3 linked regions of the Canis lupus familiaris genome follow. The protein of the gene in region 1 interacts with the protein of each later gene in a pairwise test. Links are inferred from orthologs where the notes say so. Each region holds a gene or a part of one and is shown in the gene's direction. Other genes may lie near its edges.

Region 1 (3,652 bases):
GCTGGGGCTCGGGCTGGGGCTGGGACTCCGTCAGGGAGGGCACCCAGTACCGAGCCTCTCAAGGTGGGGCCACGCAGAGGCAGTTTGCTCACTCTTGGGGCTGGTTTCTCTGACAACCTGCCCCATTAACAGTTTTATTGTCTTCCTCTTGTTTGGCCATTGCTGATACTGATCATTCCTTAGTATGACACACACAGGGTCATGTGAGAATTTGGGGACAAAGGTATTAGAAGCCTGAGATTTTCATTTTCTGTGGGAGATCTTGAGTATATGTGGGTGTTGATTTTTCTGTTAAAATTTGTGCACTGAATCATGAGCATCGACAATATTTTATTCCAGGGCTTTCTACAAATTAACATGTAGGAGAGAGAAGTATGTTCCCATTAAAAGTCATTTTGATTTTTCACAAAATAAAATCCAGTGAGCCCCCTTCCTCCCACCCCCATTAGATGTGTGTGTGTTCAATTTCTGTACCTGCTTATAGGGAAAATTTAGGTTGAGGCGTTGGGGGATGGATGACTTCTTTTGTTAGCATTTTAAAGATGTTGATTTGAATTTTACTGAATTAGTGTCGTTTTTATAAAAGGCGGAGATGAAGAAGAGAATGATGAGCCACCTAAAGTAGTAGTTACTGAAGTAAAAGAAGAAGATGCTTTTTACTCCAAAAAGTGAGTAAGAGTCCTGGGGACTTACGTGGTGAGCGTGTGTTCAGAGATGGGGAAGGTGGCTTCCAGGGTGACCTCATCCCCACAGAAATTGCTGAGCATCCTGTCCCAGGGGCTCCAGGGATCAGCCTGTGCCTGCTCTTGGGATAGGACCGAGGGAGAAATCTTGACCCTTCATTTGAAAACAAACAGATTCTAGAAGTTTTCTGCTAGGCATTTCTACTCTTTTCTAGTATTTCTGTTTTTTCTTGGCTTCTACAGTCCTTTAGAGACAGGCTTTTCTTTGACCATCCAACCCCATCTCCTTCCTGTACAAAGTCTCCTCGTCGTTGGCTTCACCTTTGCTTTTTTACTTTTACTGCTCCTCCTCGGGAGGCATCATCTCCCTCTTGGAGGTCTGTTTGGCTTTTGTGGGTTTTCTCAGCCAAAAAGTTCTGCATACTGATAGGCCCTTTGTCCCCCCCACAACCCCGTGATGAGAGTGGTTTTGGTTCTGTGTTTATTCTTGTTCTTATATGAGAGCTGTCGCTTTCAGAAGAAAGCTAAGGAGAAATTTTGAATTATCTCATCCCATTGAAATGAAATTAGTACTTTTTAACAAACGTATTTAAAGAGTCAATTGTGTCATTTTAGAAGCTTCCCTGAATGTATTTTCCTAAATACAGAAATTTCAGAGTCAGCAGTGTTCATAACAATCACCATAGCCTATGGAATTCCCAAGTGTAATTCTTTCTGAGAACTTCTAGGAATCCAACAGTTCCTTTGGTGTTGTTTTTGTTTTTTTTGTTTTTTTTTTGTTTTTTTTTTTTAAGATTTTATTCATGAGGGAGACAGAGAGAGAGAGGCAGAGACACAGGCAGAGGGAGAAGCAGGCTCCATGCAGGGAGCCCGACGTGGGACTCAACCCCGGGTTCACCACCTTCAGCCCAGGATCACACCCTGGGCTGAAGGTGGTGATAAACTGCTGAGCCACCCGGGCTGCCCTCCTTTTGCTCTTTAAATTTAATTATGCAGGTGACATAAAGGAGTGACTCTGACTTAAGATTTTTTTCCTAATTAGAATAAATTAAAGGAGCAGACAGTGGTTTTACTTGGTGTATTAACAACCTAAGGGGATGCGCGACACAGCTGGGGAGATTTTTGATAATATTATTGTCAGGCCTTGCCCATGAGAGTTTTCCAAAATTTTCAGTATTTTGGTAGATCAAAAATTGGAGGAGTCCTAAAGAAAATTCAAAAATAAATAGGAAAAAGGGGAAGAGAGATACGGGGCAGAGGGTCCTGTGTTTGTTCAGGTCAGCCTCTTGAGCTCAGGGCCAAAGGGGCACATCAGAAAGGTTAGGGTGTTCAGCTGTGGTTGTGACTGAATTGAGAATAGGTGGCTTCAGAAAGTGTTTTTTTTTTTTAAGTTGGGAGAAATAGGCAGGGGTCCTAGAATATATAACCAGACTTTCTTCTTCTGGTTTGTACCCAGACTCAGTCTGAATCAAAGATTTCCTCTCAATGTGAACAGCGATTCTTAGAAAACTTGTCTGTTGAGTATCTGATGGCCTCTCTTCTTTTTCTCCGTAGGTGTAAACTCTTTTACAAGAAAGACAACGAATTTAAAGAGAAAGGTGTGGGTACTTTGCATTTAAAACCTACAGCGAATCAGAAGACACAACTGTTAGTGCGGGCGGACACCAATTTAGGTGGGTATCTTGTTTCTCAGGTGGCACAAGATAACGCTAACTACATGGTATGTAAAAGCCCTTGCTGATTCTGGTCATTGGGATTTTCAGATATTGATGTGCTTTGGGGGATAGAATAGCAGTCATTCAGATCAAATCCATCCTGTATTTACTGATTATTTACGACTTAATTGAGTGCCAGCGTAACAGTGTGTAAGAAAATGTAGATGTGTTAAAAGAAGTAACCAGGATGGTTTTTGTTTTACTTTGTAACCAGGTTTTTGTTTTACTTTGTGTTAGAAATGTGACTAGGAAGCTATAGGTAAATTGGATGGTTTAATAAACACAGAAGGGGAATTAACCATTTAAAGGAATCTGCTTTGTGTAGGAAATGACCATGAACACATTGCGGGCTCCCCTTCGCCCCAGCCTCACCCTGAGAACAACCCACTGGAAGCAGGGTCGGGGTGCCTGGAGGAGCTGGGGCTGGGGGCCAGGGTGGGTTGAAGAGGAAGTGATGGGTGACACTAGGTCCTGCTGGCAGGGTTGCAGAAACTTCTGGGCAGCGCTTTTCTTACCTGTGGGCTTGACTCGTGGGTGATGCTGTCACCGTGATGGCGCTCTTACCCAGTCAGCCGTGCTGGCTCTGCAACAGAGAGGTTTTGTCACTAACCACTCTGCATTTGTTCCAATGACCTGGTGAGGCTCCAGGTCGTGCTAACGTGTTCCTCCTTTACTGCGAGAATGGACACCTCAGACAGGGCTGGCTGCTGCGACGGCACACGGGAGGGTGGGAGAGGACGGTGGCTCCAGGGTGAGGCCTTGGCCCTCTCTGAGGGACATAGTGCTGGCGTGTGCGGCAGGGCACCCATCCCCCTCTTCACCACCCTGCTGATGGCTCTGGTCCTGGGTCCATTCAGCGTAGGTTTCTGGATTTTATGTGGAGCACGTGAAGCTGCGGTCGTGGACCTTTCGTGCGGTTTACGTGATTCTCATGTACTTTCCCCTTTGTTTGGATGTAGGCAACATACTGCTGAATGTCCTGATTCCACCCAACATGCCATGTACCCGGACAGGGAAGAACAACGTCCTCATCGTGTGCGTTCCAAATCCGCCCATCGATGAGAAGAATGCCGCCGCCCCAGTCACCATGTTAATCCGGGTAAAAACGGGCGAGGATGCGGACGAGTTGCACAAAATTTTACTGGAGAAAAAGGATGCCTGAGCGCACTCAGCCCGCAGGACCCCCCCCCCCCCCCGCCCCAGCCCCTTAGACGTAGTCAGCTCTTCTTCTCTTCTTACTTTGACATTCTGAGA
Region 2 (3,652 bases), on another chromosome or scaffold:
GAAACACAGGCAAAGGGAGAAGCAGGTTCCATGCCGGGAGCCTGATGTGGGACTCGATGCCGGGACTCCAGGATCACACCCTGGGGCAAAGGCAGGTGCTTAACCACTGAGCATCCCAGGCATCCCTTTTTTTAAAAATTTGTTTTTAAATAAAGATTTTTATTTGTAAGTAATCACTTAAGTGTAGTGATTACTCACAACCCCAAGATCAAGAATTGCATGCTCCACTGACTGAAACCAGCCAGGTGCCCCTGCTTTTTGCTATTTAAAAAGTAAGAGGAAGTAGTTCCTGTGTGGTGGCTCAGTCATTTGAGAATCCAACTCTGTCTCAACTCAGGTCTTGATCTCAGAGTCGTAAGTTCAAGCCCTGCATTAGGCTCCATGCTGGATATGGAGGCTACTTAAGATAAAAATAAGGGGGAAGAGGAAAAGGCTCATATTTTAGTTTTTTGGTCAGGGGCAAGAGGCTTACAGCTCTCAACCAGCTGCAGACATGGCCACTCTGGAATGATCTCTGAATAGCGGTCTGATCTCACTTGCAGTTTGAAGCTGCCTGGGCTCTAACGAACATTGCCTCTGGAACCTCTCAGCAGACGAAGATTGTCATTGAAGCAGGGGCAGTCCCCATTTTTATAGAGCTGCTTAACTCGGACTTTGAGGATGTACAGGAACAGGTAACGCCCAAATTTGGCTTAATTCCTGATGGTACCTATATTATAATTTTAAAAAGTTTGGTTTTTGTACCCAGTTCCTAAAAACTACTAAAAACCTTGGAATTTTCTGAGTGAAGAGTGTGTTTTTTATTATTTATGATGGAACACACCTAATGAGATGATTGAGTGGGGCCCCTAGGCAACCTCAACATGAGGAGAGTAGTTATCAGAACTCCCAGCTCTACCAATGCCTCTATCCCAGCCTCCTGCAGAGAAATTCTGGGTTGGTGAACACATTGGTGTGGTGCCCTAGAGAGGGGATGGAAGTTCCATACCGCCCTGACTGCTCACCCCATACCTTGCCCTATGCATCTCTTCCATTTAGCTCTTCTGAGCTGTATCCATTAGAGTAAGCTAGTAAATGTAAGCAGTTTTTCCCTGAGTTCTGTGAATCATTCTAGTGAATTACTGAACCTAAGAAGGGAATTATGGGAACTTTTGAATTTATAGCCAGTTGGTCAGAAGCATGGCAACACTTGGGAATTGCAACTGGTGTCTTTTTTTGTTTGTTTGTTTTTTGTTTTTTTTGCAACTGGTGTCTGAAGTGGAGACAGTCTCATGGGCCTGAGCCCTTAACCTGTAGGGTCTGCACTAAGTCTAAGAGTGTCACAATTGAGTTGGATTGTTGGACATACAAATGGTGTTGGAGAATTGATTGCTGGTGTAGAAAAAAACTCCACATATTTGGCATCAGAGGTGGTATTGGGGGGAAAAAAACAAAAACATCACAGTACCCATTTATCAGTACCTAGATATCACAGTGATTAAGACAACTTAATTTCTTCCAGTGGATTTTTACTGATTGGATAGAATGTAGAACGTGGCGCCTAGATTTTTTTTTTTTCCTCACTTACTACATATAGGATAGATCCTGTGAGGCTGCAGGAATGCAACTTCTCACTTTCTCTTTTTTCTGGGAAGTAGGCATAGGGAGGTCTTGGTTTGGCTTCTTTGGCTGCAGTACGGATGTCAGCCTGTCTTTCCCACTAAATCAGAAATTCTCCGAGGAAAGACCTTCATAGAGCAAGCTCAGTAAGGACGTCAGCAAAGAGAGGACCTGATCCTGTTCAGGATATCTCAGGCCTCGATATGGTTTTTGTCTAAGTTATTGGTGTGTCCTCACTCTTGTATAAAATATGGACAGAAGCCATTTGTCTCTGCATGACAGTTCCATCATCCCCTTTTCAGGCAGTCTGGGCACTGGGAAACATAGCTGGAGACAGCTCCGTTTGCCGAGATTACGTCTTGAACTGTTCCATCCTTAATCCTTTGTTAACGTGAGTAATTATGATCATCTATACCTGGGACATCATCTATAAGGCAGCCATGTGGTAGATCCTTTGGGGGCAGCTTACCTTAAGATGTTAAGTAAATGCAAAAAAACACTAAAAGTATTTCTTTTTGAGAGTAAGAAGATTGTGCCACTGGTCTGTGCCAAGGAGGAGCTTCTGTTTCCTTTCTTCATTGCACAGTAGATTCTCATGTTGGTCATACTTACTTGCCTCATTGTTGAGCCAGGAGAGAGAGGCAAGACTAACCCATATAGAAAAATGCAACTTTCTCTACAGATGCATTAATTTGTTATTTTATGCCTAGGTACATTGGAGAGCTCTGTTGTAAACCACAGATTAAAGACACCATGAAAGGACATAGGGGGATCCCTGGGTGGCGCAGCGGTTTAGCGCCTGCCTTTGGCCCAGGGCACGGTCCTGGAGACCCGGGATCGAATCCCACATCGGGCTCCTGGTGCATGGAGCCTGCTTCTCCCTCTGCCTATGTCTCTGCCTCTCTCTCTCTGTGACTATCATTAAAAAAAAAAAAAAAAAAGACATAGGGATCCTTCTCCAATCCCTCCCTCCCATACCCTTCAAATAGAGTATCTAAACAATAGATGGGATAAGCTGTTCTTTTTTTTTTTTTTTAAGATTTATTTATTTATTCATTAAGAGAGAGCGAGAGAGAGGCAGAGACACAGGCAGAGGGAGTAGCAGGCTCCATGCAGGAAGCCCGATGTGGGACTCGATCCAGGGTCTCCAGGATCATACTCCGGGCTGCAGGGGGCGCTAAACCGCTGCGCCACCAGGGCTGCCCAGGGATGAGCTGTTCTTCAGAGACTACCACTATAACTCTTTCTTGGGCCTTTCACAGAAAGTCATTGCTTACTGCATGGCTAAAGCCCTTATACTAGATATTCAGCATTGATTTCCAAAGAGAACAGTATACTCGTCGTTTAAAACTTGTGGCCATTTAGGGGGATCCCTGGGTGGCGCAGCGGTTTGGCGCCTGCCTTTGGCCCAGGGCACGATCCTGGAGACCCGGGATCGAATCCCACGTCGGGCTTCCGGTGCATGGAGCCTGCTTCTCCCTCTGTCTGTGTCTCTGCCTCTCTCTCTTTCTCTCTCTGTGACTATCATAAATAAATAAACATTAAAAAAAAAAAAAAAAAAAAAAAAAACTTGTGGCCATTTAGGAGCACAATATGCCCTATCTTAAAAAGGTTTGCAGTCTTACTCAACTTCCAGCTTGCTCTTTGTCCTTACAAGCTATGGTCCTAACTAGCCACAGCTGGTTCTAATCCTCTGTGAAGGTGTAGATTGGCCTCTTGGCCCAAACAAGCTTAGTTTACTTAGGTCTGTGGGTAGAAGAACACAGTGAGGCTGCCAGAGTCTTAGGGGTCTTACTGGATTTGCTCCTGGGGTTCATAGGTGACAGCCCCATGCCAAGGTCATCATTGCTCAGGATCTGTCTGGCTTTGCTGTTTCCTTCAGACTCCTTACTAAGTCCACAAGACTGACAATGACACGGAATGCAGTCTGGGCTCTATCAAACCTCTGCAGAGGAAAGAACCCACCCCCAGAGTTTGCAAAGGTGAGAGAGTTTCTTAACAGTTTCTGAATGAAAGCAGTTTCCTTCACATGCAAGCATTTTGATAGGGAACT
Region 3 (3,528 bases), on another chromosome or scaffold:
TATAAGCTTACATATGAAAATCTCCAGCACACTGCCTATATAACTCCATCCCTTTCTTCCTAACAGCATATCTAAATGCAAGTGATTGAGACTGTAGGACCAGTCTTCAGACTGCTTGAATTTCATTTATTAAATTGTTTGCAGTCTCCTTTTACTGATGAGATGCTGGGATGATACTCCACAACTGGAGATTCCAGTGAGTCATATACCAAGTTTTGGCACTATTCTGCATACAAAACCATGAATAATTGATTGATAGCCAAAATTAAATGTAAGGCTAAACTTTTAGTACCTGATTATAAATCTAAAAATGTCTTCACAATGGCAAGTAAGGATTTTATTGCTTATATTTAATCTTAAAAGAGATCATTTGAAATTAGTCACACTCTCCTTGCAGGGCACTGTAAATTGGTCTGTTGATGACATTGTCAAAGGCATAAATAGCAACAATTTGGAAAGCCAGCTCCAGGCTACTCAAGCTGCTAGGTAAGTCTTTTCTGCTATAGCATGGGTAACCTAAGATATCAGCCCTTTAGGATTTTTTGATGGGAAAGAGACAGATGGCACAGTAAAATGAAGGTTAAGTTGGTCATAAGGCTGTTTGCATTAGAATCTTCCCTTAGGTGAAAGAAAGTATGATTTTTCTATAATTGCCTGAAGTCCTACTCACCCCCGCAGTGATAATTGCTATTAACCTTTTGGTGTACTTTTTGAGTAAATTAACAGTTTTTGTCAAGGTGGCACCAACCAAGGTTGGTATAGAGAAAGGAGGAATTACTTAGTAAATGGGATTGGCACATCCATGGGCCCAAACACATGGGTGTGCTTACTCTTAACTTTTATCAAATACAAATATTTGTGACATCCATTAACAGAAAGAATGAGTAATTTCTGTATTTTGACAGTGTACTAAAAAACAATCCAAGTGACAAATAACGAAGGAAAAGATGTTTAACCTCACTAGTAGATAAGGAAACACAAATTAAGAATGGCAGTGTAATTCTGTCAGTTTTAAAGTAAAAAGATCTAAAGTAGTTTTCTGGGGGAATAGCAAATTTCCATTATTGGTAATATTTTATTTTGGGGGAAAAAAGGTAGTTAAAGACACCATATGTGGTCATACTATGCAACCAGTCTGTTCATCTCCCTTAAGTTCCGGGATATGTCAACATATAGTGCATTAGCTCTAAACTCTTAAGTTGCATTTTAAATTGATTTTTACACAAACTACTTTTGTTAATCATTTTCAACTTTGTTTCTTTTTTTGTTTACCCTTAGGAAACTGCTTTCTAGGGAAAAACAGCCCCCCATAGACAACATAATCCGGGCTGGTTTGATTCCAAAATTTGTGTCCTTCTTGGGCAGAACTGATTGTAGTCCTATTCAGTTTGAATCTGCTTGGGCCCTCACTAACATTGCTTCTGGGACATCAGAACAGACCAAGGCTGTGGTCGATGGAGGTGCTATCCCAGCATTCATTTCTCTGTTGGCATCTTCCCATGCCCACATCAGTGAACAAGCTGTATGGGCTCTAGGAAACATTGCAGGTACTTGGATTTAAAATTCTTTGGACTGGGATCCCTGGGTGGCTGAGTGGTTTAGCACCTGCCTTTGGCCCAGGGAGTGATCCTGGATTCCCAGGATCGATTCCCACATTAGGCTCCCTGCCTTGAGCCTGCTTCTCCATCTGCCTATGTCTCTGCCTCTCTCTCTTTCTGTCTCTCATGAATAAATAAGTAAAGTCTTTTTAAAAAAATAAATAAAATTCTTTGGACTATCTCTGATCATACTGAGGTTGGGAGAAGTGCCTTGTCCATAAGTAAGAGTGACCTGTGTGTTAAGATTTAAACTTGTTTGCTTCCAGTGCTTATCAGGGCTGCTAATGGCATATAAGTAAGTTAGGGAATTTCCGAGAGTATTGTGTTTGCGTTAGGACACTGGTGAACTCAGTCATTGAATATTGATGGTGCTAGACAAGTAGGTTATAATTAACCTTGCCTTTTTTTAGGTGATGGTTCAGTTTTTCGAGACTTGGTTATCAAGTATGGTGCAGTTGACCCACTGTTGGCTCTCCTTGCAGTTCCTGATATGTCATCTTTAGCAGTAAGTTACTAATAAGTTAGTTTACTTCTTGATTCTTATTTTTTCCCACCCCCTGAAAATACACAGGAGTTCTCACTGCATTTTTCTTTCCCCTCAGTGTGGTTACTTACGTAACCTTACTTGGACACTCTCAAACCTTTGTCGCAACAAGAATCCAGCACCCCCGTTAGATGCTGTTGAGCAGATTCTTCCTACCTTAGTTCGTCTCCTGCATCATGATGATCCAGAAGTATTAGCAGATACCTGCTGGGCCATTTCCTACCTTACTGATGGTCCAAATGAACGGATTGAAATGGTTGTGAAAACAGGAGTTGTGCCCCAACTTGTGAAGCTTTTAGGAGCTACTGAATTACCCATTGTGGTAAGTTTTTAACTTTTAGCTAAAAATATTAAACCTTAAGCATGGTCAGTTGATACTAACAATTGACATTGCCTATTTTAGGCCATGATGGGCCTCTGATTTGTCAGAACCTTTATAGAGTTTTTGAGCAGTGCTGGAAAAAATAAAAGATAACCACTGGCATCAACTTTTTTTTCTTTTCTTTTTCTTTTCAGACTCCTGCACTAAGAGCCATAGGAAATATTGTCACTGGGACAGATGAACAGACTCAGGTTGTAATAGATGCAGGAGCACTTGCTGTCTTTCCTAGCCTGCTAACGAACCCCAAAACTAATATTCAGAAGGAAGCTACATGGACGATGTCAAACATCACAGCTGGTCGCCAGGACCAGATACAGCAAGTTGTGAATCATGGATTAGTCCCATTCCTCGTTGGTGTTCTCTCTAAGGTAATGAAGTCTTAGTATTTAGTCAAAGAATGTTAGTATTTATGGATGGACATTTGGTAGAGCTGTGCTTGATAAGATTCTTAATGTGCCAATATTGGATTCTACCTAGAGTCCTTTTGCTAAATAGTGGCCAGTAACCTCCTTCACTTAAGATTAGATGGAATCTGTTGGTAGTTAGAGTTGTTTTTCTATAACCATACTTTTGGGATCCTATTTTTACAATTGTTCTGAATTAAACTTGTTTCCTTATGCTTATTAGGCAGACTTTAAGACACAAAAGGAAGCTGTATGGGCTGTGACCAACTATACAAGTGGTGGAACAGTTGAACAGATTGTATACCTCGTTCATTGTGGCATAATAGAACCATTGATGAACCTCTTAACTGCAAAAGATACCAAAATTATTCTGGTTATTCTAGATGCCATTTCAAACATCTTTCAGGTAAGTTATAAGGTAGCATTTGAACTTGGCCTTGATGGTAATGGATGATATTTTAACCCACGGGAGGGCAGCTAAGTTTGCTCAGTAGGCCACAGAATTAGAAAGGCTGCTTATGTGGGCCACACTCTTGGTAAGACGTGACAAGGGATTATAAGAGATTTAAAGGAGATGACAAGGGGATGACCTGAATTTAA

What was found.
Region 2: the proteins of NUP50 (region 1) and KPNA6 interact in binary tests that used the Homo sapiens proteins (3 or more experiments, as listed by UniProt). The two-hybrid records come from large-scale screens. The link is inferred for Canis lupus familiaris from reciprocal best matches to the Homo sapiens genes NUP50 and KPNA6.
Region 3: the proteins of NUP50 (region 1) and KPNA2 interact in binary tests that used the Homo sapiens proteins (3 or more experiments, as listed by UniProt). The two-hybrid records come from large-scale screens. The link is inferred for Canis lupus familiaris from reciprocal best matches to the Homo sapiens genes NUP50 and KPNA2.

Annotation. Positions count from the first base shown.
Region 1 is NC_049231.1:21,781,559-21,785,210, reverse strand, and holds part of NUP50 (nuclear pore complex protein Nup50), read left to right. Parts: intron 1-586; coding exon 587-668; intron 669-2,237; coding exon 2,238-2,356; intron 2,357-3,357; coding exon 3,358-3,560; 3' UTR 3,561-3,652. UniProt on the Homo sapiens protein: Component of the nuclear pore complex that has a direct role in nuclear protein import. Actively displaces NLSs from importin-alpha, and facilitates disassembly of the importin-alpha:beta-cargo complex and importin recycling.
Region 2 is NC_049223.1:68,434,496-68,438,147, reverse strand, and holds part of KPNA6 (importin subunit alpha-7), read left to right. Parts: intron 1-542; coding exon 543-674; intron 675-1,901; coding exon 1,902-1,990; intron 1,991-3,481; coding exon 3,482-3,581; intron 3,582-3,652. UniProt on the Homo sapiens protein: Functions in nuclear protein import as an adapter protein for nuclear receptor KPNB1. Binds specifically and directly to substrates containing either a simple or bipartite NLS motif.
Region 3 is NC_049230.1:14,372,389-14,375,916, forward strand, and holds part of KPNA2 (importin subunit alpha-1), read left to right. Parts: intron 1-397; coding exon 398-486; intron 487-1,278; coding exon 1,279-1,547; intron 1,548-2,008; coding exon 2,009-2,103; intron 2,104-2,200; coding exon 2,201-2,464; intron 2,465-2,658; coding exon 2,659-2,892; intron 2,893-3,151; coding exon 3,152-3,334; intron 3,335-3,528.